Linked DNA regions of Mus musculus: regions 1, 2, 4, 5 and 6 are each reported to be linked to region 3. The links are microRNA targets in miRTarBase. Many come from high-throughput screens and were not tested one by one. Region 3 holds a microRNA gene; each other region holds the end of a gene's coding sequence.

Region 1 (5,066 bases), not on the chromosome of region 3:
CAGACTCAGTCTTCCCGCCTCCACCTCCGCGGTGCTGACTTTACAAGCGTTCACCACCATAGCCAGCCTCTATTAGTTTCCTACCACAATGGCTCACATTTAAATTTCTGACCCACTTAGAATTTATCTGGGGCTCTATTTTGAGGTGAGATTTGAATTAGAGTTTTTACAGAACAGCCAATTTTTTGTAAGACTTCTGGAAATAAAATTATTAGGTGAAAAGTTTATAACTCTAATGGAAGAGTGGAGTAGAATAATGATCTCTGGATGCTGGGAAGGGTAGCACTTTTTTAAAAAAGAAGTGCTAGTAGATGGGATGGAGAGTGTTTTAAACTGCATACTGCTCTTCCAGAGGCCAGAAGTTCAGTTCCCAGCATCTGAACTGGGCAGCTCACAACCACTTATCACTCCAGGGGAGCCAATGCCCCCCCACCAGGCACCTGCACTTGTGTGCACATACACATATGCAAACTCATGTGACAATCAATATTATATGCTTAATTAAAAAAAAACAAAACAAAACCTAGATCTTAAAAAGAGAAACACTACTAGGAACAATAATTCCAAAACGGAAGCATCCAAAGACATAGCTTGACGTTGACCATAAACTTTGCTTTGTCCCCCTTCAGGTGGTCAAGAGCCAGCACTGAGCAGTGACTCTGACATCTCATTAATTATGGCACTGGAAGTGGGCCTGTCTGATGTAGAACTTTCCACTGACCAAGACTGCGAGGAGGTGAAATCTTGAGATGGTAGAAATGGACAAGAGAAGACATAGGAACCAGGGGGACAGGAGGGAAGCATGCTCCAAGGACTGAACTGGATACACGACCTTCAGATCACCATGGCAACCCCAGGGCACTCTGTTCAAGGGTGGTAACGAAAGCAATATCCAAAGTCTCCCGAGTCAGGATGCGGGTTCCCATCTCTGCAACAACAGCCTGTGGCCTTGATGTGGAAGTTGAAAGCTGAATTTCTTGGTGTCTGTGTAGACGTGCAGCAGACTGGAAGGAGAACTCCACAGTTTCTTCACTTGACTTCAGCCTCTCCCATCTTCTTGCTCTTGTTTGGGAAAAATGGTTTCATTCCCTTGGCGACTTCTTTTTAAAGTTGATGTGTAGTTTACATCGATTGATTCCCTCCGTTTTCCCTTTGATCCACTCCAGCCCATGTACAGAGGTCTGCTTAGAAGTTCTGGTTGCTGGCCCTGTGATTGGTTTATACCACGTCTTGAGATTCATAGTCGCGAGTTATCAATATGACGTGTGTATGACTTTGAGGATTGCCTCGGCACCCTGAAACAGTGGAAAGGCAGATTTTACCAAGTGTCTAAACCCCTCCAATAGGTGGGCCTTGGCGAGCCCAGCTGCCAGACAGCCACACTAAGTTCTGGATCTGCTGAGCTGCTTGCTGGCTATTTTCCACTCCACTACATAGGCTTCCACTTGCCACGCTCTGTCAGGGGCCATCTTAGCAGGAGAGAACTGTCAGGGAGGAATGCAGGTCCTCTGACTGGAGGGCCTTAGTCTAAAACTCAGAATTCCCCAAAGGACACCATGACAAAGTTCAGAGTATGTGGAACTATAAGCCTAGTTTAAAAAACAAACAAACAAAACAAAACCTGATACCCTGTCTTCCCAGGAAGATGCCTGACTCCCTGATTTCCTCCAAAGCCTTAGCAGTTTATCACCTTCATAAATGAATTCCACGGGTACGAGGTATAGAAAAGATGAAATCAGTTTTTAGGTCACTGGCATCCAGGTGTAAGCTTATTTCAGGAACTCTCCTGTTAACCCTCACCAGCCTACATGGAAAGATCTAAATAAGTCCTTAACAGTTTCTCGGGTCTTCTGAGAGCATTTGGGTATCAAGAGGAGAACGAGGTATGATCTGATAAAGTCTGAATCAAAATGTGCATCATGGGAAATTGCTAAATTGAGTCTCCTCTGAGAGTTAGAATCAAATAAGATTACAAGGAAAATAACAAATGACTATCAAAACCCACCGTACTATAAAGTGGTTTACGATTTTATTCTCTTTTTGTCTGAAACAATAACAAAAGTGTGCTGTCTTTTGAGTAGACAGTATTGTGATACATGCAGCAATTCCAGAGACATAGGTGGCCACCTGTGTCCCTCTGGACAATCAGAAGGATCTCTTCCTCCTCCTCCTCCTCCTCCTCCTCCTCCCTAGCAGTTGGCAAGGTCATACAGAGCAGGGATTATCAGGAAAGCAAGCTCTTCCCACTGAGCTGTATTTATGTATTTGATTTGAGCTTTTCCACCTCATTACACTAATATCTTTCAAACATTCGTGAGCTGTAAATCCATGCTGCCCACTGGAATTTTGAGTCCAGGGCGATGGAATTCTCCACTGCTCCTTTTCCTTCCTTCCTTCCTTCCTTCCTCCCTCCCTCCCTCCCTCCCTCCCTCCCTCCCTCCCTTCCTTCCTTCCTTCCTTTCTTTCTACTTTTAATGCATTCCTATTCGATGGTAGAGAGCAAGGCAAGGAAAATGATAACAAGCTTCAGAAAAATCACCTCTGTCAAAGGTCTAGCACATCCCATAATTAATGCCCGCCTCCAAGGCCTGAGATGCTTCGTAGCGAGGAAGCAGGTGAGTGCTAAACCAGACTCTCTCCAATGAAGTTTCGAAGATGAGTCTCACTGTCCCCTCTGTCTCAGGTGACACATCTGCACTTCTCCAGGGGGGATCTGTGTTGTGAAAACAACTGAGTCACAAAGGAAATTTTAATATTTAGTCTAATGACATTGGGGTAATTCAACAACAAGAGAAATACAAAATTACATTGCATGACCAGACAGAAAAAGATCTGGTAGGTGTTTTCTGGCCAGTGGCCAGGTAAACGCTGATTATATAAGCAAGTCCTTGACCTAATACCCTACAGGATGCTAAGGAGCCCAAGAGGCCCACCCTTAGCCTGTTGATCTGACTCCAAGGAGACCCTGTGGCAAACTCCCTGAGCCTTTGACAGTCTCTGCTTACCAAAGAGTTTTGAAGGGCTTCCCTGTGACCTTCATGGCAAAAGAAAGATTAAAAGAAAGTTTTTCCTCTTGAGATAACTGGCAAAGCTCTTACTATAGACATTGCTGCTGCCTTCCGTGATGAGGAGGCCCTGACCTGAGGACCCAGTGAGCCACACGTGGCTATGCAGCCCAGGAGTGCCCACTGACTATGCATTTACAGGCATGCATTTTTCTGGAGCAAGTGGTGCACCAACTCTGTCCAACAGAAATACAGCCCAAGTCACATGCATTTTTTTTTCTAACTCCCGATAGCCACATTTTAAGAAGCAAAAAGGAAACAGGTGGAAATTATTTAATAGCAGTTTAATCTAATATTATTATTGTTTTGATGTGCAAATGATGTAGGGTGTCAGGAAAACATTTTCCTCTATTCTTTGTTACCTATTCTAAATCTGCTGTCTTTTACACGCCCAGCACATCATCATTATTACTAGCCACAGTTCAAGCTTTCCGTAGCCACATGTGCCTAGTGGCCACCAGCCGGGCAGCACAGCCCAAGAAATGTTCCAGAATCCTTACAAGTGCTCTCCTGACTGTGACAGGAGAAAAAGGATAAGATTACCTCAGGTTTTCCCCAAAAGAAAAACAGACTTTAGCCAAGTTACCTAAGGAGACAGCCAGGGATGTTCTTATTCCATAAGTAATAGCGGTTCAAATAGCCTTTATCAACTTTCTAAACACAGTGTCCACTGTCCTCAGCAACTGTTGCTTCTCTGACGAGCTGTTTGTTAAAAAACAACAAGACAACCAACCATGCTGATTTGGTGCTGAAATAAAATTACACCCTCACTTTTATGACAAACCCTGAGACTCATGTGAGAGACTTACACCCCTCACTTCTATGACTAATCCCAAGACTCTTAATGTGACACTTAGCCAAAGAGAATTTACCTCAACCCATAGTTCTTCATCCCTGTGGCTGCCCCGTTCTAAAGCAGTAGAACTCAGAGACAGGAAAGGCGCAGGAAACCGCAGGCCGAGCCACATACCCGGTCTGTGTGGCATTGCCGAGAAAGGATCTCTGAGCTTGTGGCCATCCAGCCTCTATGTGGTGAATGGCGAGCAGCTTTCTCTTCAGCTTTGTCCAAGGTTGAGAGAGGAAAAGAGCCCTGAACTCCCTCAGAGTCACTTTCAGAATGGCTTCCTCCTGCGTGGTTAATCCTTCTAAAGGGCTGCTGCCTCCTAAGAACAGCCTTGGGTCTGGCAGGGCCTTCAAGGTCAGTTCTGGTCACACACCCAAGGGATGGATATAGTATGGAGACAGGAGATGATAAGGTATCAGAGGCAATCAGGCAGTGGTGGCTCACACCTTTGAACCCAGCACTCAGGCAGGTGGATCTCAGTGAGTTTGAGGTCAGCCCGGTCTATGAAGCAAGTTCTGGGACAGCTACAGAGACAAATACTGGGTGGAGGCAGGGGCAGAGGTGGGGAGGAGTACCAGAGGCACCTAGCTATTTCAACATTGTGTGTGACATCCTGGCCATGGAAGCAAGTCTCTCTCCAGAGATTTGTTGTTGTTGTTGTTGTTGTTGTTGTTGTTGTTGTTGTTGCTTTAACATTTTCATCTGTGGGTATTCAAGGGTCTAGCCTGTTAAGAATGGCTGTGCCCAGTGGCCATTTTCTTTACAGCCCAGACATTCCTGGGACTACAACACTTCCAGAACCAAAAGAGAACATCAGTCTGCCTAAGATTCTTGGTGTAAGCTTAGTTGGTGCTGAAGTAGATTGCATAAGCATTTAATGGCATTTAGTTGTCCACTGAATGCATATCCTTGGCTGAACACCATGAAAATTACCAAATAAAAACTTTCAAAAATTTTAGGAAAGATCATCATGCAATCTACAAAGAGAAGGTCCAGTCTCTGCAGTGCTGAGGTACTGAGGCCAGGGAGATGATGTCCTGTAGAAGAAAAAAAAAAAAATTAAATGTATGAGTTGCTCTATCTGCATGTACACCTGCAAGCCAGAAGAGGGCATCAGATCCCAGATACAGATGGTTGTGAGTCCCCAGGTAGTTACT
Region 2 (5,074 bases), not on the chromosome of region 3:
TTTATCAGAAGACAAGTTGAGGGCCCCATTATCCTACCACCCAGGCTGACATCACAGAACTTTCCCTGGGGCATGTTCCCATTCCTGGGACTGCCCAGCCAGCACAGGAAATGGCTGGCGCATGAATGTGCCTGTGAGTAAGTGGCTTAGATCCTTCTCCCCTGAGAACGCTAAAAAGCGACAAAGAAGTGGAACTCTTTGGGTTCCTGGAGAAGAGTCTGAAAAGGCAGAAATGGGGACCTTGCAGGGCTAAGAGAGGGTCAGGAAACTGAGTGACAAGGTAGAATGGCCCAAGTGTAAGTGTTCACCCAAAGTTCAGGGGGACTGGTGTCTGGGGGCCCAGCTGAGGTTGGGTTTGAAATGTTCAGAACCCATTGATGGGACTTAGCTGTGCCGGGGTAGAAAGACAACGTGAGAGTCTACAAGGATGAAGTCTAGGAGCTAGAGCTGCATGGCCTGGCCGAAGGTTTCTGACCAGGGATGGTTTCAGCCATAATCGGGACCACTGCCCCCCAGCCTTAGCAAGCAGCACGTGAGGGCAGAATTTCCAAAGAACAAGGGTACTGTGGGTCCGAGACAGACCACTGGGCTTAAGATTTCATGGTTGGCAAGGGTGGGGTTGGCCCTCTTCATGCACTCTCAAGCCCTCAGTCCTCAGCTTGAGGAGTCTGCTCAGGAAGTCACTGCTGTTCCCACCCCCATAATGTCCTTGGGCGCACTGGCACTGCCAGGCACTTACTCTGCCTGTTAAGGGCCCAGCCCCCAGCCAGGCGCCCGCGGGCTTCCCTAGCCTCAGGCAAGGGCACTGAGGGGAACAAAGGGGCAGTCTCTGCCTTCTCAGACACCCACCCCTGCCTGCCCCTGGCACAGAAGGACCAGGGCCCTGAGGAACCCTGACAGTAAAAGTAGCAACCGTCTCTTTGCCAGCATTGCGAGAACCCCACTTCCCTGGCCCCTGGCCTGCAGGGACGGGAGGTCCTTTACTCGGGAGTCCTGAGCACTGAATTCAGGCTTGCCAGTCCCAGCATTGAGCCGCTGGCGGGTGGCAGAGCCTGGTCTCTCTGTCATAAGCCAAGCTGTGAGGGTGGTGACTGTTCTGGTGCTCTGTGACAGAGGGGCACCAACGAGACAGCGTCAGAGAAGAGGCAGGAGGACAGAGGCCCAAGGCCTGGAAGAGGTTGGGCCTGCTTACCCACCTTGCACCTGAGTCCACCTGATGCAGGCAAAGGAGATGAAGCTTTCTGAAGCAGTCCAACAGGGGGGCTGTTCCCTGCTGTGGTCCCTCCTCTCTGGATCCACTTTTTTAAAAAAAAAATTTTTTTTGCTGGGCGTGGTGGTGCACGCCTTTAATCCCAGCATTTGGGAGGCAGAGGCAGGCAGATTTCTGAGTTCGAGGACAGCCTTGTCTACAAAGTGAGTTCCAGGACAGCCAGGGCTACAGAGAAACCCTGTCTTGAAAAACCAAAAAAAAAAAAAAATTTAATATTTATATTTTATATATGTGAGCACACTGTAGCTATCTTCAGACACCAGAAAAGGGCATTAGATCCCACTACAGATGGTTGTAAGCCACCATGTGGGTGCTGGGATTTGAACTCAGGACCTCTAGGAAGAGCAGTCAGTGTTCCCACCCACTGAGCCATCTCTCCAGCCCCCAGAGCCACTTTTTTGCTGGCAGCTCTAGCCTGTTAAGAGTGGGAGCCCCGTCTCTTGTCAGAGTATGCCTGGGCCTAGCAAACATAGAAGTGGATGCTCACAGTCGGCTATTGGATGGATCACATGGCCCCCAATGAAGGAGCTAGAGAAAGTACCAAAGAAGCTAAAGGGATCTGCAACCCTATAGGTGGAACAACATTATGAACTAACCAGTACCCCGGAGCTCTTGACTCTAGCTGCATATGCATCAAAAGATGGCCTAGTCGGCCATCACTGGAAAGAGAGGCCCATTGGACACGCAAACTTTATATGCCCCAGTACAGGGGAACGCCAGGGCCATAAAAGGGGAGTGGGTGGGTAGGGGAGAGGGGGTGGGTGGCTATGGGGGACTTTTGGTATAGCATTGCAAATGTAAATGAGCGAAATACCTAATAAAAAATGGAAAAAAAAAAAAAAAAAAAAAAAAAAAAAAGAGTGGGAGCCCCACTGGAGGCCCAAAGACACTGCTTCCACCTGCCCTCAGCATGCAGCAGAAAAAACAGGTGCTTGCTCACCATGCCAAACCCAAGAGGAGGTCAATGTCTCAGTGAGCTTGGCTCTACTTTGTATTTTTCAAAACAGGGTTTTTCTGGGTAGCCCTGGCTGTGCTGGAACCCGATCTGTAGAGCAGGCTGGCCTCAACTGCAGAGACCTGCCTCTGCCTGTGTGCTAGCACTAGAGGTGTGCGTCTCTGCCCCAGCGTGGATTCACTTTCATCCAGGAGCCCTTGCTGCCACCTCCTATATCTGAGCAGCTCCTGGCCGACGCTAGGAAAGAGGCAGCCCACTCTCTCAGAAACAGACAACACTGCCCCTGCCTCGTCTTCCCAGGCCCTTATTGAACACCAGGACTCCATTTAAAGAAAAAATAATATTTATTTGCAATATAAACAACGTCCCGTTGCTGGCTCGGGATATATATGTGTGTGTGTGTGTCTATATATATATGTATGTATGTAGGGTCACAAACTTTCCTTCATAAGATCTTAAAGCAAAACTGGCCACCCTCTGGTATACCCTCATTTACACTCTGATCCATGTTTCTGGGTTTTCTTTTAAAAAATGAGAAGGGGGGGGGTAAGGGAGGGAGGGAGAGAGAGAGAGAGAAACATGCCATGTACAGAATGGAAGTTTTGTTTTTTGTTTTTGGTTTTTTTTTTTGCCAATTTCTCAACTGTGGCAAGATTTTAAACTGCTTCCCTAAAGAATCCCTGAAAACCAGCCCTGTGAGGTAAGATGTGGCCTCAGTCACTGCCCCCTGCGGGTGTGCGTCCCATCAGGACCCCAGCACTTCCTGTTCCTCATGGTGCCTAGGGAGAAGCAAGGCTGAGAAGCGATGAAACCGGAGGAGTATTATGGAGCCCGTGGCTTTGTGCTATGGATCCTGGGATGGGGGCCTCTTACCCCCCACTAGCCAGTCCTTGCCCCACCTGCCCCAGCTCTTGGGCCGCAATAGGTGTAGGTTGCCTGCAGGTTAAAGGCACGGGCAACATGGGCCAGGGCAGGTGTGCACCTGGACAAGGGGGCTGGGGGTGAACCTCGTTGGAGTCTACAGCAAAGCTAAGGGACTGGGAAGGCTTTACACAGGCACTGTGGGCCTCTATTCCCAGTTCAGAGACAGAGATGAGGACAGAAGTGGTGGGCAGTTTATGAAAGGGCCAGGGCGCAGCCCTCTCAGGGGCGGAGCCCAGATGGCTAATGCTACTGCTTGCCACTCCCCTGCAGCACCACCTCCAGTAGGACCTGGCAGGGAGGTCTGCAGGACTCTCAGAAGGTTGGTAGGAGGGCAGACAACACAAAGACCACCAGTGCCCACCAGGCGCAGCTCCTAGCGACGGGACTGTGCCAAGGCGGCACTGAGGTGGGCTGGGTCACAGGTAGGAAATGGTAGAACCAGGGTCCTGATGCCCAGAGAGTGACAACCCACCCTTCCAGAATGGCCTGCTGGGAAATCAGACTTCACACACGTGCAAAATGCATTTGGTCAAGAACATGGGGTTTGTCTTTTCCATTGAAAACAAAATACATCGATGGTTTGCTTTTTGAAACAAGAAACTGAGAACACTCTCTCTCTCTCTCTGTCTTAGGAAAGGGGGTGAAATATTGGTTTATACAATCCATTGTTGCATTTAGCCTGAAAAATAACACTTTGTTAAAAAAAAAAAGAGAAAGAAAGAAAAGAAAAGAAAAGAAAAGAAAAGAAAAGACAAGAAAAGAAAAAAACAAACCAAGAAGAGCTTGAACTCTGCTCCAGCGAGCTCGGATTTACCTGCCAAAAGTAGCAACCTCAGGTCTGTGGATATGTCTTTAAAAATAGCCAGAATGGCTGGGCTATCAGCCGAATGGATGTCCTGGGGCAGAGGCAAGGCCCCACCAGCCCCCAAGCCGCAAGTCTGAAAGCTGAGGCCAACGCTCGCTTAGCAACATGTCTGGAGAGCTGAGGCCATCTGGCAAGTGCTGCCACAGGACCCTGCACAGGATGGCATGGGAGCTCAGCCACTGCTCAGCCTGGTTCTCTGGACACAGGTGACATCTGTGGGTTCTTCAGGCCAGAGGGGCAGCAGGCTAGGGCCCCCACCAGGCCCCGTGGAGGGCTGGGAGACCCTGGTGCTGCGCCCATCAGTGCCCCAGGCCTCACGTGGACTCGAGCGTGTTGATCGGGAACAGGTTATGGTTGGTGGGCGTGGAGAAGTAGAGCTGCTCACTGGGTGCGTGGTTGTCGCATGGGCTGCTGAGCCCCAGCGTCCGCTCAAAGTCCAGCAGCTGCCCCATGAAGTTGAAGTTGGGCGAGATGTTAGACTTTTTCCTCTTGACGAAGTCATAGGCGTCGTTGAGGGACAGGTTCATCTTCTGCATCAGGTAGGCTACAGTAACTGTCACTGAACGGCTGATGCCTGCTAGGCAGTGCACCAAGACACCACACTTCTTGGAGCGGGCTTCATCTGAAACACAGGGACACGGGTCAGAGTAGAGCCATCTCCAAGGAACCCCTAGGACAGAAGGGCAGAGGCACAGGAAGGTGCTTTAAGGGCCTGATAAAGCCCAGCATGGATAGGGTGTGAGAGGACAATAATACCATGCTGATCACCCTGGCCACCAGTGGGGTCTCAGCATCCTCTGTTACACAGCTCAATTTAAGAGACAGGGTCTCTCTGTGTAGCTATGGCTATCTCAGAACTCACTCTGTAGACCAGGCTGGCCTCAAACTCAAGAGATCTGCCTGCCTCTGCCTGCTGGACTGCTGGAGTGAAAGGTGTCCCTGACTACTGCCCAGGTATTTGTCAGTGCTTTTGTAGGGACCTGAGGCAAGGGGGTTCACCAAGCCCAAATTACTGTCACCCCTGGGATCACTTCTCGTCCCACATGGCCACAAGTGGTAC
Region 3 (5,074 bases):
AAAACAAAACAAAACAAAACAAGCAAGCACAGCTGTCGCAGAGCATGAATACAAGCCATGGGAGTTCAGGGAAAAGGCAAGCCTTTACAAACCCGATTTGATTTGGGTCTATTTGTTGTTTCTGATGGAAACATGTTCTACTGTTTAACTGGGCAAAAGAGCACATATCAACCTGACTTTCCTGCCAAGTCTGCCCTCTCCTTCCATTCTGGGCACGCAGTCAAGCTCACAGGGCCTCTGAAGGGCTGCAGGGCCTGTTTGGATGAACAGATAGTGTAGGGAGGGTTCTGGCCTTCATTCAGTGACTCTTCCCTAACATTATGCATATAACTAGAGCCCTTAGGAAAGTGAAATCACTATACTACTGTGAAATAGAAATTACCACTGCAGGAGTGAGCAGTGTTTCTTTAGAAAACATGGTGCTTACAGTTTAGGAACAAGGGCAAATCTCATCTTGCTTAGTAGCTCATCCTCTTGGAGCATGACCAGGGCAACAGGGTACATCTGATCAAAGTCAAAGTTAAACTGCACACCAGCTGGTGGGTCACGGAGGAAATTCCTCTTGTCCTGTGATGAGAAATGGAGGCAAAAACCATTAAAGGGGGTGTCTTAATTGCATTTTATGACAAAGTATCATGGATCGATATACTGAATTTTAACAGTCTTCAGTCACAAAGTCCACTGAGCTGTCACTGACTGGCCCACTTAAATGAGATAGGAGAACAATCCATCCTTTCATGTTTTTTTCTAACACTCACCTGGACAGAGGCTCCCAGGAAGCCAGACAGTTCACTCAGTTGATTGAAACAACATAGTTAAAAATCATATAAACATGTAATAATCATATAAACACCTTTAGGTTTAGAAACATTCTAACTCAAGGCCAAAACACAGTGTGGAACATGCCTGTAGTCCCACCACTTGGGCAGTAGAGGCCAGGGGGATTAGGACTTCAAAGTCAGCATCGTCTGTACAGAGGTTTGGAAGTCAGCCTGGGTTACATGAGACTGTCTCAAAAAGACAAAACCTAAGCTGGTGAGATCACTCAGTGGGTAAAGGTGTTTGTCACCATGCCTGATGATCTGAATTTAATCCCTAGGGTCTTTGGAATGAAAGCGAGGATATGGGCTGAAGTGATCGCTCAATGGTTAAGGAGCACTGGATGCTCTTCTGGAGGACCCAGGTCCCACTAAAATCACCCCCAGGGCAATTCCCAATGTCTGTAACTGCAGTTCTAGGTGATCCGACAACTTCTTCCAGCTTCCTCAGGCATTGCATCCAGACATGCAGGCAAAACATCCCTACACGGAAAATAAAAATTAAAAACCAGGCCAGGCAGTGGTGGCGCACGCCTTTAATCCCAGCACTTGGGAGGCAGAGGCAGACGGATTTCTGAGTTTGAGGCCAGCCTGGTCTACAGAGTGAGTTCCAGGACAGCCAGGGCTACACAGAGAAACCCTGTCTCGAAAAACCAAAAATGAAAATAAATAAATAAATACCAGAAACAAAGCAACAAAAAAAAGAAAGCCATCACCAGCAACATGAACCTCTGCAAAACATTCAGAAAAGCATGGAATTGAAGATCTGGGTATAGTATTGATGTCTGTAATCTCTGTACCTGGAAGGAGGATTAGAAATTTAGGGCCAGCAGCCTCTACTATAGAATGAGCTCAAGGCCAGCCTCAACAAAGTAAAACAACACAATACAACACAGAATCCTACTAGTTACAGATAATTTATGGTTCAATGTAACACTCCCTTGGGTCCCTATGTCTAATATATGTGGTGTCCCTGCTAGTGATGAAAAATCTTGGTTGTCAACATGACAACATCTGGAATCAACTAACACCCAAGCTGGCAGGCACTTCGGTGAGCAATTTTATGAATCAGACTATTTGAAGCAGAAAGACCCACCCTAAAACTGGCAGCCCACATATAAAGACACAAGAAAAACCTTCTTTTTGCCTGTTTGTCCTTACTCTCTACGGCAAATTCATCTATTCTGTTGCTGCAGCTGGTATTAAATAAAACTGCTTTAGGATTCCCATGTAGACTGAGACTAGCAGCTATCCAGGAATCTTCTGGGACTGTAGCACCAGACAGGGATTGCAGAGACATCCAGCCTTGTGGAGTAAATAACTACTAGATTTTCAAGCTTTACACTCAGACAGTTGTTGAACTATCTGAACCAGGCTAATACATCTACTTTCAATATGCATATTTACTCTGTCAGTTTTTTTTTCCTTGGTGTTTTTGAGACAGGGTTTCTCTGTGTAGCCCTGGCTGTCCTGGAACTCACTTTGTAGACCAGGCTGGCCTCGAACTCAGAAGAAATCTGCCTGCCTCTGCCTCCCAAGTGCTGGGACTAAAGGCGTGCGCTACCACGCCCAGCTCTGTCAGTTTTTTTAAAGGTTTATTTATTTAACGTATTGGAGTACACTGGTTGTAAGCCAGCCATGTGGTTGCTGGGATTTGAACTCAGGACCTCCGGAAGAGCAGTCAGTGTTCTTAACCACTGAGCCATCTCTTCAGCCCTATTCTGTTAGTTCTATGCCTTTAGAGAATCCAGCAGGTAAGATTTGCCATACGTAGGAAGGCAGGCAGTCCATACATTGTGATAGCTACCACTTTTTAAAAAATATCTTGTTTGATACATAAGGCAATTCACTTTAAAAAAAAAGTTATTTCTTTTTTTTATCTGAGTACACTATAGCTGTCTTCAGACACACAGTAGAAGAGTACATCGGATCCCACTACAGATGGCTGTGAGCCACCATGTGGTTGCTGAGAATTGAACTCAGGACCTCTGGAAGAGCAGTCAGTGCTCTTAACTGCTGAGCCATCTCTCCAGCTTAAGACAATTCACTTTTTAAAAATATTTTCTGGGCTGGTGAGATGGCTCAACAGGTAAGAGCACCCGACTGCTCTTCTGAAGGTCCTGAGTTCAAATCCCGGCAACCACATGGTGGCTCACAACCATCTGTAACGAGATCTGACTCCCTCTTCTGGTGTGTCTGAAGACAGCTACAGTGTACTTATTACATATAATAAAAAAATAAATAAATCTTTTTAAAAAAATATTTTCTTTCTTTTTTGTAGGTTTTTATGTGTATGGGTGTTTTGCCAACATCTATGCCTGTGCACAACATGTGTGGCTAGTAACTACAGAGGTCAGAACAGGGTGTCAGAGCCTGAGACTAGAACTTATGAATTGTTGTAAGCAGCCATGTGGGTGTTGGGAATCAAATCTGAATCCTCTGAAAGAGAACCCAGTGTTCTGAACCACTGACCAACTCTCCAGTCCTAAGTTTTTGTTTTAAAAACAGTCTCCTATAGCAAAGACTAGCCTTACATCCTCTATTGGAGGATAACCCTAAACTCTTGCTCCTCCTGACTGCTGGGATGACAAGCATGAAAGCCGACTTTCTTTTCTCACTCAAGGTCATGAACAACTTTCCAGCTCTAATGGCTATATTAAATGAGCACTAACTTACCATAACTTACTAAACCAGACCTGTTTCCAGAGTCATTTTAGTAGTTTCTAACTTTTTGAAAGAATTCTGAAAGCAGGGTATAGTGGCATACATCTGTCACTTGGGAGGCTAACACTGGAGGACTGCTTAGAATTTGAGACCAGACTGGGCTACACATTGAGTTCCAGAATAAGACCTTATTTTTTTTAAAAAAGGAGAGTCTGTATTCCTTTGTAAAGTGAACTTTAAATTAAAAAAATATATATTTATTATCATTATTGTGTGTGTTGGGGGGAGGTAGAGGCACACACCCCTGTGCCACAGTTTGTATGTAGAAGTGAGAGGACAACATAGGGGATTTGGTTCTTACTCCATTTTATGAGGGTTCAAAGGATTGTACTCAGGTATGAGTCAAGAATTTTCTTTGTTTTTTTTGTTTGTTTTGTTTTTGTTGTTGTTTTTGTTTTTTCGAGACAGGGTTTCTCTCCTGGCTAAGTCAAGAATTTTCTTAACCCACTGAAACATCTTGCTGGCTTATAAAATAATATCTTTAGAAGAAATTCCTAGAACTGGAGTTTTGACTCCATGAGTACAGTTATTTCAATGACCATTGCCCAGGCTTTCCTGTGGAGGAGGCAGAAGTCAAGGAAGACTCACAAATTTTTTTTTACTTATTTATTATATGTAAGTACAATGTAGCTGTCTTCAGACTCTCTAGAAGAGGGAGTCAGATCTTATTATGGGTGGTTGTGAGCCACCATGTGGTTGCTGGGATTTGAACTCAGGACCTCTGGAAGAGCAGTCAGAGCTCTTACCTGCTGAGCCATCTCGCCAGCCCGACTCACAAATTTTTACTAGAAAAAAAAATAGAGACGAGAGTGCTGCTGGTACAGTTCAGAGATAACAGAGCGCATGCATAAGCTATACAATCCACAAGGCAATCCTGAGTTCATTCCCTCAGGCCCAAAAGGGATGGAGGATAGGTTAAAGGAGAATGTTTGCGGGGCGGTGGTGGCGCACGCCTTTAATCCCAGCACTCGGGAGGCAGAGGCAGGTGGATTTCTTCTGAGTTCAAGGCCAGCCTGGTCTACAGAGTGAGTTCCAGGACAGCCAGGGCTACAGAGAGGAACCCTGTCTCGAAAAATCCAAAATAAATAAATAAATAAATAAATAACGGAAGTTGTGGACATTTGCCTCAGCAGTTAAAAACACTGGCTGCTCTTCCAGAGGATCTGGGTTTGATTCCCAGCACCCATAGAGAGGCTTGTAATCACCTGCAACTTCCATTCCAGGGATCCTACACCTTTTTTGGCCTACAAGTACATCAGGCACACATATGGCACATAGACATATATGCAGGCGTATAATACACATATAGATTAAAACAAAGCAAATATGGATTCATGAAGTCATATGCCATGCTCTGAGCTTTGATCAAGTTGGCCTTTGTTCTCTGAGACAGCATGGAGAAGTAAGGGTTAACATCATAGTCTCAGCCCCCTCAGTGTTCCAGAGGGGTAAAAGCACTAGCTATTATCATCTGCAACATTATTACTGGCTGCTTTGGCTATATTTCTTCAAGTCATGAGATAAAGTTTTGT
Region 4 (5,074 bases), not on the chromosome of region 3:
CCAACTTTCTTCGGAACATTGGAAAGTTCTGGAAGAGTAGGGGGATCCACGCCAAGCGCTTGTCTACAGGACTCTTTTTGGTGAGTGCAGCCTTGGGCCTCTGTGAGGAGGTGTCCATCTATGGCTTCTGGCCCTTCTCGGTGAACATGCAAGGGGACCCTATCAGTCACCACTACTATGACAACGTCTTGCCCTTCTCAGGCTACCATGCCATGCCTGAGGAATTCCTTCAGCTTTGGTATCTTCACAAAATCGGCGCGCTGAGGATGCAGCTGGACCCGTGTGAGGAGCCGTCACCACAGCCCACTTCCTAGGGACTGCAGAAGAAGAAAGGACGGGATGGGGGATATTTTTGCTAGGTTTTTTTTTTTTTAATGTGACTTCTAAAAAGAACTGCCAAAGTGTGTCATGGATTGGCATGATAGGAAACAAACAAAACCTAAGCAAAACTGCTTTTGATGTTGGCTTGGAGAACAACAAGAAATAAAGTGTCCCGGGGAATGTTTTTATAGTGTTGTGGATTTGCAAGCGGGACAACCCCAAGGAGACGATGATGGCAGAGCACATGTCTGTGATTCAAATCAAGAAGATGTGATTCGAGGACCAGATGAACTCTTGTTGCTGAGGCCGAGGGGCCCATCATGGCAGCCTGTGGGAGATGCTGGGATATTGCTGACTGTCAATATACACTGGCATCATAATCATTTTAAAGATCCGTCTTATTGAGACTGGCATTAGAACTATAGGTTTAAAAAAAATTATTGTTGATTTTTGCCCTGTTCAGGGCTATGGGTGGGTAATGGTATAGACTTACAAAACCCTTCCTGCTGATTATTGTGATTTGTTAAAACAAGTCTTTGATGACTATAGTCCCCTCCACTAGTACGGTTTTAAATAAGAATCACTTCTTACCTCCTTTTGGTTAAGTCTACTTAGCATGAAGCTCTGTTGAGTTTAGACTGTGTTGATCTATTGTCTAGATCACACGAGCCATTTCTTCACATCAGAAGTTGAGAGGGAAACTAAATTTTAGGTCCCCATTACATCAACCCATTGGCTCTGTTATTTTCATAGAATCACTAGACCTGCAAGTACACTGTTTACTTATAAAGTAGCAGAAGCGCCCTCATCATTTAATGAGAGGTGACGTAGCTCACAGAGAGTGAGAGCTTCATCTTTAAGATAGACAAAGGCAGGGCCTTTTCCTCTCTAACATGAATATTTCCTTCCACGATAACTCATGCGTGTATACGCATATGTATACATGCATGGATTATCTTGTATACATATATATGTACATATATATGTATACACACATGAATATAGACACATACACTTTGACACTCTCTACACTTTCTACAAAGTAATCAAAGATTATTCTCATGAAACCATCAGTACTGAGTGTGCATGGCCTAGAGTCTGTAACCAGTATTGGAGAGCCACATGTAGTGTGGGCTCCATTCCATGTTGACACAGTCAGGCTGGCATGGCAGTTGCTGTCAGCTTGCCTGTCAGCACAGGGTGCAAGGCTGACCCTCAAATACATAAATCAGAATGTGAACCCCTCTCTTACTCATAGTGCCTCCCTGCACCCCAAAATTTCATGAATGGGCCCTGTGTTGAGCCTAGTGACATGTGATGTGGCTCTTTCAAGGAAGCAGGTAGGAACCACCAGCCGTTTAAGTCCTTAATGCCGAGTGGGTGGGGCCGTTTAAGCAGCTTGGTACATCAGCTTTGACATAGCTCGGGAGCTTTCCTGGCAGATTCTGGCCCAGTGTGCTTACTGTAGGTAAGGGGGTGAGAAGGGGGTTCTCTTATGACCTTTGTGCTGTGAGATGTGCTAAGCTCTGAGGAGATGTACGAACCCATTTTATTTTTTCAACTGTCGTCATGATAGAGGTGAAAACGACTCACAAGTTCTGCCTCATCTTGGAGGTAGAAACTCGGTGTATCGACCATGTCTATGAAAAGCAGGGGGCTTTAAAAGGAAGGTTAACTTACAAGACAAGCAAGCCCCTGAGATGTACCCTTGGGGTGGGGGATTTCCAAAAGTGATCCAATATTCAGGCTACTCTATGGATAGCATTTGAACTGAGGAAACTGGGCGGCCTGATGGTCCGCTCGCTGCTGTGCAGAGCTGGCTTAGTGTTTCCGTTTGTGTGACAGCATCAGGATATCTAGAAGGCAGCATGAGCTGTGTTATTCGTATCTGCGCAACCCTGACTACAATCTCGTTTTGAGCTACTGGTATTTAACCATTATCTAAGGAAGAAGACATGTTCATCAGTAGACTTCATCAGAAGTGTAAAAGGGCTAAGAAAACATCACATACAAAGATTTCATTAAAGATGTGTTCAGATGAATACATTAATTGGTCAAAATCTAAGCAAGAAGCTCATAACAGACCACTGTGCACTGAGAGAACTGTCTGGGAGCTTTAGCTCTCCATCTGGTTCCTAGAACAGGTCCGTGTGTTTAGTCTGTGCAGTTTTAAAGCCACTCTCTATGGGATTTGAATGTCAGAACAGATCTGGCCAACACTGTCTGTCCTTTTTACCCGAGCAGACTGCCCTTCCCTCAGGTGCCATCAGGACCCCGAGGACACTTTCAATTGTTATGACCAAGAGTGCTCACACTTGTAGTAGGGAGTGACCATGAATGCTGGTCCAGTAACCACAGGTCAGCCCCTTGCCACAGAGAATGACTCAGTAAAGTGTTAGTTGTGTGAAGGCTGAGGAACCCCAGGCTAGACCAAAAGGAAAGCTTGACTGCTCCTGTGCTCTGTCCTTTAGGCCACAGGTATAACGCTGATGTCATGAACAGGATCTCTGTGGCCTTTCGTTATTTTATAGTGACAATTCACTGGTATGTCGTATGTAACTTTATGTGAGTCTGGTTAAATGATGTAGCTAAACAAGTGTGTGTGTGTGTGTGTGTGTGTGTGTGTGTGTGTGTGTGTGTGTGTGTCTATGTGCATGTATGTGTCTATGTGTGTATAGCTGTGTGCATCTGTTTAGCATTATTTTTAGTAAAATATGTGTTCCTAAGTAGAAGCCTCTCCAGAATCATCCTTTAGAACATTCTAGAGTAGCACCTTACTCTTAAGAGATTGGGTATTATTCAATCCTGCTTATTGAGATTTAGGCCTTCAGCTTTGGGCCTAGTCCACTATTTAATGTATTTGACCTTTAACTTTCAGCTCAGAAGGGATTTGGGTTATGATAGAAATGTTTAATAGGAACATTAATTAATTTCATTGTGTCTGGCAAGAGATGACACCCCACTCTACCACCAATTAGATCAGTGCTTTAAGTGTGTGTATGTGTGTGTGCACATGCATGTGGAAAATAAAATTGCTTCATGGAGGAAGGAGAGAGAATGCAGAGACTGCTAATGAATACTCAAACAGGAATTCTCTTTTTGAGTCAACCGCGACTTAAGAATTTGTTGATTCTCAAGCTCCCAAGTGAGGGCGGCTGCTGCTTGATTTTAATCACACTTCAGTAAAAATTAAGCTAGGTGAAGAGCGAGTCATCCCAGCAGAAGGAAAGCTTTTACATGAGAGAGCTTTTCTCAGAAGATGACTCTTAGTGCTTTGCCAAAGTATATTTTTAAAAAATTGTGTGCCTAAACCAGATTGTTCACGTTTATGACTTTGAAAAAGGAGGGGGCACGGGAGACTCTCACCCTTGAGGCCTGAATGCCCTTGCAGGGTCCTGAGTTCAGGTTCTGATGCACACTTACCCACACACAGCTAACTGTTACTCCAGGTCCAGGACAGCTGGTGTCCTCCTCTGGTCTCCATGGACACTGAATGCAAGCAAGAACATACACATAATAAATAAATGAATGAATAAATAAATAAATCTTAATAAAGGTAGAGAGTTAATTCTCTAAAATGGCAGATGTTCAGGTAGTGTCCTTTGTGCTTCTTCGCTGGGAAGCCAGACATCTATAGTTTTATTTTTTTCATGTTTGAAAATACCAAGTTCATAGACTCTTCCACTGGCAAATCATTGTCAGGAAAGATCTAATGAGAAAATCAGTCACGAGTCCACTGAATGGTTTTTACCTTATAAAATACAGTGCTGTGGTATAGATGCTTCCCCAATGGTTTTTACCTTATGAAATACAGTGTTGTGGTATAGACGCTTCCCCGCCAGAACCAGGTAAGATTACTTCTCATCAAAAAGCCCAGAGATCAAGGGCTGTAAAGCTTTGTCTGAACTCTCAAGGGCAAGTCTGCAGTAACAAAGACTGAGGATGCTGTTGTGTGTTTTTTCCTGCCCAGAGTAGTCAGAAATGTGAGCTCCAGGCAGCCCACATCAGGGGTGGAAGCAAATTAACAATGTTTGACACCTGCAGCCCAGGTTGATGTGGCTAATCGGGTCAGCAGTAAATCCTCTTAGAAGTTTTGGAAACTTGATTCTGTTGTATGCTCAGGAGAGGAAGAGGCAAGGTGACAAGGGAGGTGACCATAGTTCCCAAGCTCTCAGCATCCACGGGGACAGAGGGGTCTATACCTTTGTTCTTGATGACCCTCTTGTCCAACAGAGGAGCTGGCTTCCACTGAGGGCTGAGCTAGAAGCCCCCACTGCCACTTATCTCTGCCCTATCACAGTTGTTGTCTTCCACTGGGGGCTGAGCTAGTAGCCTTGCAACGACAGGAGCCTCAGCATGAAAATTTGCCAATAATTTAAAATTTTGAATCACCAAACATATTTTGCTTTGATTTTTTTTTTGCCTAGGATTGCACTTGCTAATCTTGTGGCAGAGTCTGGTCACTGTGGCCCAGGTGTGACCCTGCATACGATCATACGCAGAGTTCTTTTCTCTGTCTATATGGGTGGACTTCCAGAGTCCCTGAATCTATGGAGATAACAAATACCTCACAGTTCCTGTGCTGTGTCTTTGAAAGTCTGGAATTCCGAAGTCCAGAATATGTCTATAAACTCCTAAATGTGAGGCCACAAGATTTAGTCTCAGCCCTATACAACTCCTGTTGTGTAAGTGGGAGAGTCTTATATCTGTACATCACACACACACACACACACACACACACACACACACACAC
Region 5 (5,074 bases), not on the chromosome of region 3:
AAAAAAAAGCTACTTTCGGTTTTGGCAACATTAAAAAGGATGAGACATAGAGCAGAGGTGGCCCTGGCCCGGTCATCAGGTGTGTGAGTAGGACGCTGGGTGGGTGGGTGGGGAATCGGGAGTCGGGGAGGGGCGGGGGAGGGGCTTGGTCTCTAAAATTCAGAATATCTGGCATTTCAAATGTAGGAAAGCTCAGCAAGTCAGCAGACCTGCCAAACATCAAAGCTCCCTGAGGAAAAGCTCAGCTTTCAGGTCTGGGAGAGTTCTTACTGGAATGTGACCTATCACTGCCTGACAGATCTGACATGGAATGTCTCCAAATGGCAGTGTCTCCCTCTCTGCCCTCCCTGGCTGGGAGTGCGCCCAGGAGGAGCAGCCACCTTCCGTGGAGGTGGGCGAGCCTCGGGCAGCCATCTTCGCCAGCTGCTGCTCCAACTTGGAAATGCACTCGTCTTGACTGCAGGTTGTTTCCTTTATGGATTTGATCTCTTTCAGAATCTCATCCACCTTGGCTTCGTTTTGCACACTGGCCATGTCTGTGGGCTTCTTGGGGGCACAGTTGAGATTGCTCTTCTTGTTTGCAGCCAGCTTGCCGTCCAGAATGTTCTTCTTGACCACCTTGAAATCCCCGTTCTTGCCTGGAATGTACCCGTGCTTCAACGATATGAGGATGGGGTCTGTCTGCATTCTTCCCCCTCAAACCACTCCTCGGCCTCAAGGGCAACTTCCGGCCCCGCTGTGTCAGGGTACAGGTCGTCTTGGAAGAGGTCAGACTTCCTGGGGACCGTCATGATAATGGGCTCGTACTATCTCTCATGAAGCTTGAAGAATCTGGCAATCTCACACTTGTTGACGTCAAGGCCCCGCTTGGGCATGTAGCCCATCCCTCACTGAGGCTCCTTGCCGCTGAATGTGTGGAGGTAGTGGACATATGGGAATTCATCCGCGGACACTGCTGTCACCCTTCCCACATAAGTAGATGATGCTGGTGTCTGGGTCGTAGAAGGAGAGCAGCACTCCATTGCTAGTGTCCATTTCATGGAGAGCATTGGTTTCTGCATGTTTTTTTGGGTTCCAGAGCGTCAACTGCCGCTCGCTCATGCGGCTAAAGCCAGTAGTGAATACGTTGCCGTCCGCCAGGAAGATGGCACGCATAGGCCTGGCTCCTTCGTGTGCTTTCTCCTTCTCCACCGCCATCTCCTGTTTCCTGGGGTCAATGACTCTCATTTTCTTGTCTTTGGATGCTGTGCAGATGAGACTACCGTTACAGCTCCAGCTCTCGTTGTAAATCATGTCTGAATGCATATCATCCAAGTTGATGAGGGCTTCCCCTGTCCCCACGTTCCAGATGATAATGACATTATCACAGCCTGCACTGAGAAGCACAATGTGGGCCGTCGGGTGCCAGGCCACGATGCCAACTCTTTTTGAGTGGCCTTCTAGAATCACCACAGGCTCAGTCAGGGAAAGGGTCAGTCCATTTTCTGGGATCTGCCAAACCATAACAATGCAGGCCTCTGAGCCGCTGGCGATAACCTGATCGTTATGTGGACACCAGTCTATGTCCAGCACTGGTCCTGTGTGGCCACACACTGTAGGGTAGGATTTGTCAATTTGTCCCGTCTTGTGCAGAGGGAGCATCAGGAAGGCCCCTCCCCTACTTGCTTCTATGATGATGGCCACGAATCTGGGGTTGATGGCGCAAAAGGAACTGTCCCAGGTGACTCGGGAGACGCGGATGTCATCATAGCACTGATCATTCTTCACCGCCTGTCCAAAGACATGCCGGAACTTGCTCTGCCGCACCACTCGCCGCATCGTGTCAGAGCCCGGGTGCCTGAGGCGCCACCGAAGTCCCTGCTGCAAAGCCCCGAGAAGCCTCCATCCATCCGCTGCCGCCTCCCGCCTGGCACTGAGTGCCGCGCGGGGGAGGGGCGCGGCAACCGCTGCCCAGTCCTTCGCGCAAGCGTGCAGGCCCTGCCCCCCTCAAATCTTTGAATTGGGTCAACAGACACTAACATTATCCAAATGTAATGGTTCTGAAATAAAACACTGTAAGATCAATCCACAGTTGCTATCTAAGTTTTGCTGTTACATATTTAAAATAGCTGTAAAGTTACTGGTCTATGGTGATAATTTATCTGACTTTTTTTTTTTTTTTTTGAGGCAGGCTCTAACTATGTAGGTTGGTCTCATAGTGCTAGGATTTAGGTGTGTGCTACAATGCCCAGCCGAGGGCATCGGGATGAGGGAGAAGAATTCAACCACTGGGCTTCCTGTTAGAGGACCAGTGGTGTTGAGCAGTGCCCAAAATGTTACTATTGATGTTCTGGGATGGAATCAGTTAAAGCAACAGTGTGGGCAGGGGAGGAGATGTTTCGGGAGTGAAGATGCTTGCCACAGAGCCTGATGATGTGAGTTAAGTACCCTAGACCCAGATGGTAGCAGACGAGAACAGGCGTGTCACTCAAGCTGTCCTCTGACCTCGACACATGATGGCATGTGTACATGCACACAGGCACATGTGTGAACATACATACAATAAATAATAAATGTATGTAATAATTTAAAAAGAAACACAGGCTTTAATGGGATGGCATGGCAGCTAGGCCTTCACCTTGGGCTCCTGATGTCAGCATTCGTATCCTTTGGAAGACACTTTCAGTCATACTTCAGTGAGTGTCTCTATTAAAACCATAGGGGCTGAGTGTGGTGTGTGCCTTCAATCTCAGTGCTACAGAGGCAGAAGGCAGAGGAAGCAGGAGGCAGAGGAGGCAGGAGAGGCAGAAGGCAGGCGGATCTCTTGAATTTTCAAGGGCAGCCTGGTCTACAAGTGAGTCCAGGACAGCCAGGGCTACACAGAGAAACCCTGTCTATAAATAAATAAATAAATAAAAAATAAAATAAATCTTTGTAGAGCTAGCTGTAACTCAGTTGGTAGAACACTTACTTAGCATGTATGACGCCCTGGGTTCTACCTACCTCCAGCACCACAGAACCCTTGGTGTTGTGGTACTTGACTTTAATTCTGCACTTGGGAGATGGATGCAGGAGGATCAGAAGTGAAGGTCAGGCTTAGCTTCAGAGCATGTTCAAGGTCGGTCCAAGATGTACAAGACCTTGTCCCCAAACAGCCTCTTTGTATAAAAGGATATCATTTTGTTGACACAACATTAGTTCTTATCTAAAGCAAACTCTCACCTCTCAAAAGCATCCCCAGAAAACATTTTCATGCTGCCCCAGAGGTGTAAGTTATTTGGTATAATTCCAACATCCCTGAACTCAAAGATTTTTGTGCTTGCTTAAAAAAAAATAGAGAGGATCAGCATTTCACCCCAAATATTCTCCACTCCTCCCCTCAATTACAGCACTGAGGAGCCCTTACATTGTCAAGGCTGTGCTTCCATTCAAGACACGTTTCCAGCACTCTAAAAGGACGAAGACTGTTTATTAAGTACAGTGTTTGAATCACATTTCAAATTACACAGAGAAAAGCCTCCATCACAAAGTGCTTCAGGCGTCAGAGATTTACCACACCAAACAAAATCACTTCTGCCATCAATGTGCTGGGGCAAGATCTAATTAACACGAGTCTCATATGCCCATGACGCTAGCAGGCAGTGGCTCTGCAGATTTTTCTCAAATTATCACTGCGGGATAGTTCCCAGTGCCCATAGAGGAAGAAGAAAGAGGGGGAGAGAGGGAGAGAAAGAGAGGGAGAGAGAGAGAACACACTAGTCCAGCTTAGCCTCAAAATTACTAGGTAGCTAAGCTGCAGATTGCATTGAACTTCCTGCCTCCACTTCTCAGGATTTGGAGTTCTGGCACACACTATCATCCTGGCAGCCTTTGCCTTATAAGGAAAGAGCTCAACTTTGTTTCTTGTTCAAATCTTGGAACTGGTAATAAGCTATCTACTCTACCTTTGGGGGAGCTCACAGCTGAAGGTGATGGACAACTTCCCTTTTCTCCTAAAATCCCCATGAAGACCCCTTTCTTGTCTTTGTGCACTTTACCAGTTACCCACTTGTAAGGAGAACATACATACATAAGACACAGCTCACAGTTTTTGTTGTTGTTGACGACATCTAACATCATATCTAAGAGCAAGTGGTTTGGAGCCAGAACTGAATTCAACTGTCCCAGTGAATACAACTCTAAAGAAACCATACTGAATGCTCTGGGTCTGTCTTCTCATCTCCCAAGTGGACGGATAATAGGAATTAACATCGCTGTGTGTTAAGAAGCAAACAGGCTAAGATCTGCAAATTTCTTAACACGGGAACAGGCATTCACCGAATGACAAATTTAATTATTAGTCTTTTAAAACTGCCTTAGTAACTGCTTTTGCCATTCAGTTACCATTACTTCTGTCTGGATGGATGGGTGAGACCAATTCACTCCCAATGACACCAAGATTTCTGACTCCTGGCTTCAGGATCCCCATCACCCTCCGTTGCCCTCCATCACTTTAAAGACTTTTATAGAATGGGATGCAGTATCCAGCACAAGAAGAGAATTCTCCTTGGTGAAGGCCAGTGCCACAGGACGGGAGAGGCCGTGAGTGATTATAGGCTTCAGGGCTGGGAATTCTTCGGGTTTCCCCAAGCAGACGATGGCTGGACCAGAGGTGTCAGCAACAATCACGTTTCCTTGGTGATCGAAGGTCACAGCAGAGGCAGTTACTTTGGAGGGGAAGAGGAGGTTCAGCCCGAAGCTATCCACCTGGCCAATCAGCTGCATAGTGGAGTTGAACACCTTCACCCTTGTGTTGTTACAGCCAGTCCTCCCAAAGGCACAAGGATGCTCTAGGACCGCGATGGCCCCCGTGAGCCATGACACTGCCAACCCACGGGGACTGCATAGGTGAGCTTGCAACCTCTCAATCCTCCGAAGGACCCCTTCAGGGAAATCCGCTTCCAGCAGGTGCAAAGTCCCTGCCTCTGCATCAGTCACCAGGACCCCATTGTGAGGGGTGATCTCCACACCCCAAGGCAGGGAAAACTGCTTTCCCACAACCAGCTTGATCTGGCCAAAGAAATCAAACACTTTGAGGGAGCAGTCGCCAGCGTCG
Region 6 (5,074 bases), not on the chromosome of region 3:
GAAAATGAGAACTGAGCACAGGGAAGAGTGGCATGATGGGTAGGTAAAGAGGAGTCAAAGGCCACGAGAGCATACAACACTCAAGTGAACCACAGGAACACTCTAAAAGGCAACTCTGCTGTCCAGTCTTGGATCTGAGGAGGAATCAGATAATAAGAACCATGCAGGGAACAAAGCTAGCCTCGCACCTGCTGGCTTTCCCGTCTGTTGGCAGGAGAGAAAGGTTCTGGTAGTGGTGTCATTCAAGACTGAGAGCTGGAGGTACATTGCAGCAGAGCACTTGATTCACATGCACAAGGCCCTGGATTCAACTCTCAGAGGCATAAATATATAAAAAAAATTAAGTAGATTTAAAACTAACTGCTAAAAAGTAATTTTAAAACCCAAAATGCTCAGCATGCTATAACTAGGAGACTCTCAAAACCAACTAACCAACAACAAAACACCTAATCATGATAAATGAAACAAAGGAGAGAGAGAGAGAGAGAAACATAAAGGTACTGCTTATATGAAGTAAACAGAGAAGATGACTCTAAGGGGATAGAGACTAGAAGATGGCCCATTGCTACGGGTAGGAAGGGGGTTAACTACTCTATGCCTCAATGTTCTCACTTCACAGTGATCGTTATAGTATCCAACAAGGCTCCCAAATACAAAGATCAAGGGACATGATACAGTTAAAGTTTGGGACACTGTGCTGTACTCAAGATCACCTCAATATGTACATATACTAAATTTGGGAATAATAAATCTGGGAAATAAACTGATTTCCAGGTTTAAAAGTCATTAAAATAAATAAACCTAGAAATAATATAAAGATCCAGCAACAAACTATACTTTATCCTGAATTCAATCTTTATTTAAAGCAAATAATTTTGAAAAATTAAGCCCATGGCTTAAAACACTTAGAACTTTACACACATGAAGTATAAGAAGAAAGGGAAATGTTTTAACTAATTTTTCCCTCAATATTTGAGTTCATCTGAGTAAGAGATGAAAAAAAGCTATGTCTCCTCACTTTGAATTTACTTGAGTTGGCATTTTGGTGTATAATTCTATAATTCCATGTTTCTAAACATAAAAGTCCTTTACTAAAAAGTAGTAACTTCTCATTGTAAATAGGAAGATAATTCTCACTCGAAAATCCCTGACCAACAAATGTTCCAAGTCAGTAATTCTAGGGTCAGAAGCACTTATGTCACTATTCTCTCAGGCACCTGTCCATGCCATCCTGTCATCACTGTCAGATGCTATGGCACCAGAAGACACGGAGAGAGATGGAAGGCTTTGGGGTTGGTCATTTCCCAGAGGGCGTCAGATGGTGGTATGGATCCTGCCTCCTGAACTCAATCCTTTCAGTGCAGGCGTGCTAGTCAAACAGCTGCCCCATCACTCCTCCAGGCAAATTAGTGGTTGTTTAATCTTTTGAAATAATTACTTATGTGAGTACAACCTATGTATCTTTGGTTAAACAATTTTCTCGCCAGCATCAACATTTGCATTCTCTTATTTATCATCTCTCAGGCCTTTTACAGAATTACTTCAGCCTTAATTACTCTCTGATTCTTTTTAAGTATTTCCAGAAAAAGGTTCTAACATTAGGAGAGAGTACACACAAATTTCAATATTTAATAAATTTATCTTGATAACATCAAAACAAGTTTACACTTTAAATTGCATTATAAAAAATACATCGGTCTTCACATTAGTTTTACATGGAAATATATAATTATTTGAATATTTAAATATAGCTTTTCTTTAAGCAAAACAAAACAAAACAAAACAAAACGTGTTACTCAGAGCCCTAGTTACATAAATAATTTAAAATGCACAAATGCAAAAAAACCACTCTTTACACAATATTGTCCACACACTGTTTCACCAGGACAATCACAATAAAAATCTATTCAAGATACTAAAAGGGACAAGATTAATGAAATGATATGGTTGTAATTTGATGTATTACTATTGAAAGAATATAATGCACTCTTGACTACACAAAATAACCAATTGTTTCAACCTAGCCTGAAAATTAAATCAACATTTATGTAGACAAAGGGGCACATCTTATATCCTATCAAATTCTAAAATAATTCACTTTTAACTTAAGTTTTACCATTTTAAGTAAGTTTCCAATCTTGTCTAAAATAATAATCCTTACAAGAAGTTAGTAAATATTTGCAAAATGCTAAACAAAGCCATAATTTCTGTACCAGACATTTTTATATTTTTGGTGATGTTAATTTTACATTTTAATTTTTTCCTTGCTTTCCCTTTAAAAGGTCCTTAGACAAGTTTCCAAATTATGAATTTTTTAACTTTAAATTTTGATTATTTGAATATTCATTGCGGGACATAATCACAATAGATATAATCTGGCATAATTACATGGTAGGTTATTTAGGTATGAACTCTCACTTTTAACCTCCATTACAAGAGTGTTTATTAATGGTGTCTGGGAGCTGCAAAAGACATTAATACCTACAAAGAATACTTTTTCATGTTTACTTCATAATCAGTGAAAGAGTTTTCTTCCTTAATTAAATTTTGAGGATTTAAAAAAAAACTAGCAGCCCATTAAGAATGTTTTAAAGAAATTAAAATGTTTGTAAGATAAAGAGGCAAGGTTGAAAAAATTAAACACGTTACTTGCCGACTAAAAAAGCACATTTGTCCACTCTGCAATATAATTACCACTTATATTTAGAAGTAAAGAGATGACTATAGTATCACCATTAACGACTCACAGGTTAAATAATGGCCCCTGGAACAAAACCACGTTGATATTTCATTAATTCTAAGGTAACACAGTTTTATCTCTGAAATCAAGACACATCTTAACACTGACTCTAGTTTCAATAAAATATAGTAGTTACACAGTAAAGGGAAACTTCGTGTTTCCTCATAACATCAATGACAGAAAAAGATCCAGGTCTTGACTGAACAAGAAAAGGGGATGCATCTGCACCAGCTCAGTCAATGACCCTCAAAGGAATAGACTCAAGTACCACAGAGGTTCACACTGTGTATCCAAGCTCTTTATCTCAACTGTTAAACTCAATTAGGTAGTTTAAGACAAAATGTCAAATTGGCTTAACCTTTAACTATCTAGCTAGTTTAATATAATTAGATAGTTTAAGATAAACTGATGTATAAACTGTTTTTCACTTGAAAAGTAGGTCTCTAGTTAGGTTACTAGTTTAACTTAATTTTTCTGAAATGTCAAGTTTTTCACTAATGACAATTAATGGCCAGTCCACATGCCATTATCAAACCAACAGCTTAAGCTCATCATTTTAAAAATGTTATCCAAAATATTAGTAAATAAGATGATAAAATTACCTGGATTTTCATTTTAGATTACTAATAAAGGGAGAAAAGGTACCTTCAAAGCTTATTCACATTTGCAAAATCTTTTCCACGTAAGACTTAATAATGTTAACAAAAAGATCTGTGGGTATGTGTGCAAATGAGAAAAGCTACAGAACTGCAGATCCAATTTAAATGAAAAAGAATTTGTCTTTCACCAGGTGCTTAAAAAAACTGGATTAAATATTTTATGGAATGACTTTAAAAGAAAAAGAAGTTATATATTTTTGTGATCGTTTGATCACAAAACTGAGATACTTGAAAACCGAGATAGCACAATGTCGCTCTTTTTATTTATCCAGTTAGAATACCTACTGGCTATTCAACTTGGAAGTGTGGTAACTAAGTAAATAGATATCGGTCCCAATTGTTTAAAAGATGAAATTAATAAGCTTGCTATGTTCATTCTCCCAGTGTTATAACTTTTTGGCACGAAAGATTTTCAGAGGACATGATTTAAGGAACAGAATTCTATATAGTATGCTAAATTATGAGACAAATTAAGATGAAGCTCTTCTACATAAATGGGACAAAGGTTGCTTTTAAATCTTTAAAAGAAAAAAAAAGGACCCTAAACACTAATTTTAAATGAATATAAAATCTCCGAAAAATAATATCTGTAGCAAAATAGTGTAAGGTCAGTTTCCCCACCAAAGCTGGGAAAAGTATGTGCATTCAAGTCTCAAATGTGTTCCATCCAAGTGAAGGACTGAGGTCTCCATCCGCTACGACGCGACGCGCACTTTTATTTTGCCTCATTGCTTTTCGACTTGCTTGCAAGCCGTGTCACCATCCTGTCGGTATTTGTTGTGGAACTCAAGCTTCTCAGGTCATATTCTCTCACTGGAAGAAGTCTCTTCCTTCTCCGGAAGTAAGTTTTCCTGTAGCGCTTTATTCCTCCAGCATTGGAAAGATGAGCAGGCAGCTCTGCAGGTCCTGCAGTAGTGCTCAACTGCTCTTCAGCACCAGCTGGGAGAACCGGGGCGCACGGGGGGCACGGGGCGCACAGGGGGAGCGGGGGGCACGAAACCCGCGGGAGGCACAGGGCCCGCGGGGGGCACGGAGCCTGCGGGAGGCACGGGGCGCGTGGGAGGCACGGGGCGCGCGGGGGGCACGGAGCGCGCGGGGGGCACGGAGCCCGCGGGAGGCACGGGGCCCGCGGAGGGCACGGGGCCCGCGGAGGGCACGGGGCCCGCGGGGCTCGCGGGGGGCACGGGGCACGAGGGGGGCACAGGGCCCGCGGGGGGCACGGGGCGCGCGGGGAGCACAGAGCCCGTGGGGGGCAGGGGGCGCGCAGGGCCCGCGGGGGGCACGGGGCGCGAGGGGTGCACAGGGCCCGCGGGGGGCACGGAGCGCGAGGGGTGCACAGGGCCCGCGGGGGGCACGGGGCGCGAGGGGTGCACAGGGCCCGCGGGGGGCACGGGGCGCGAGGGGGGCACAGGGCCCGCGGGGGGCACGGGGCGCGAGGGGGGCACAGGGCCCGCGGGGGGCACGGGGCCCGCGGGGGACACGAGGGGCGCGAGAGCTTGAGCGCTAGTGCTTCAGCTGCTCTCTTGGCTTCCTTTATCTTCCTGGCAACTATTTTCTTCTTCCTCAGTTGCATTCTTATAAGAACAGTCTTTGATAGATGCCTCCGGGGCATAAGACCATGGCATCTAGAGACATACTTCCTGATGATGTCGGTCGCTTTCAGCTGAATCCAAAT

What was found. Region 3 holds the annotated microRNA mmu-miR-3473a (UGGAGAGAUGGCUCAGCA, at 2,833-2,850, opposite strand). A microRNA usually pairs through its seed, bases 2 to 8, with sites in the 3' UTR of a target mRNA and lowers its output. Matches are read on the target gene's strand: a 7mer-m8 pairs with bases 2 to 8, a 7mer-A1 pairs with bases 2 to 7 and ends in A, and an 8mer does both.
Region 1: the mRNA of Rnf150 is a reported target of mmu-miR-3473a. Seed matches in the 3' UTR shown: 8mer at 2,634-2,641 and 8mer at 4,542-4,549.
Region 2: miRTarBase lists Dusp7 as a target of mmu-miR-3473a. Seed matches in the 3' UTR shown: 7mer-A1 at 4,125-4,131 and 7mer-m8 at 2,785-2,791.
Region 4: miRTarBase lists St8sia1 as a target of mmu-miR-3473a. Seed matches in the 3' UTR shown: 7mer-A1 at 2,442-2,448 and 7mer-A1 at 3,056-3,062.
Region 5: the mRNA of Nhlrc1 is a reported target of mmu-miR-3473a. Seed matches in the 3' UTR shown: 7mer-m8 at 3,717-3,723, 7mer-m8 at 3,703-3,709 and 7mer-m8 at 3,695-3,701.
Region 6: miRTarBase lists Zdbf2 as a target of mmu-miR-3473a. Seed matches in the 3' UTR shown: 7mer-m8 at 1,602-1,608, 7mer-m8 at 1,270-1,276, 7mer-m8 at 470-476 and 7mer-m8 at 214-220.

Annotation. Positions count from the first base shown.
Region 1 is chr8:83,082,807-83,087,872 of GRCm38, forward strand. It overlaps Rnf150 (ring finger protein 150), which reads left to right. Exons shown (of 7, transcript NM_177378.4): 7 at 630-5,066. The coding sequence ends at 748. Among named protein-coding and RNA genes, the nearest start is that of Tbc1d9, 80 kb to the right of the region's middle.
Region 2 is chr9:106,373,201-106,378,274 of GRCm38, reverse strand. Dusp7 (dual specificity phosphatase 7) reads right to left here. Exons shown (of 3, transcript NM_153459.4): 3 at 2,551-4,636. The coding sequence ends at 4,329. Among named protein-coding and RNA genes, the nearest start is that of Dusp7, 7.1 kb to the right of the region's middle.
Region 3 is chrX:162,872,088-162,877,161 of GRCm38, forward strand. Mir3473a (microRNA 3473a) reads right to left here and starts at 2,908; the gene lies at 2,831-2,908. It overlaps Syap1 (synapse associated protein 1), which reads right to left. Exons shown (of 9, transcript NM_025932.2): 5 at 428-567.
Region 4 is chr6:142,824,024-142,829,097 of GRCm38, reverse strand. It overlaps St8sia1 (ST8 alpha-N-acetyl-neuraminide alpha-2,8-sialyltransferase 1), which reads left to right. Exons shown (of 5, transcript NM_011374.2): 5 at 1-5,074. The coding sequence ends at 314. Gm7457 (predicted gene 7457) reads right to left here. Exons shown (of 7, transcript NR_045707.1): 5 at 3,745-3,810. Among named protein-coding and RNA genes, the nearest start is that of Gm7457, 12 kb to the right of the region's middle.
Region 5 is chr13:47,009,128-47,014,201 of GRCm38, forward strand. It overlaps Nhlrc1 (NHL repeat containing 1), which reads right to left. Exons shown (of 1, transcript NM_175340.4): 1 at 3,430-5,074. The coding sequence ends at 4,447. It also overlaps the pseudogene Gm5790. Among named protein-coding and RNA genes, the nearest start is that of Nhlrc1, 3.2 kb to the right of the region's middle.
Region 6 is chr1:63,308,986-63,314,059 of GRCm38, reverse strand. It overlaps Zdbf2 (zinc finger, DBF-type containing 2), which reads right to left. Exons shown (of 7, transcript NM_028673.1): 7 at 1-5,074. The coding sequence ends at 4,115. Among named protein-coding and RNA genes, the nearest start is that of Gm23448, 11 kb to the right of the region's middle.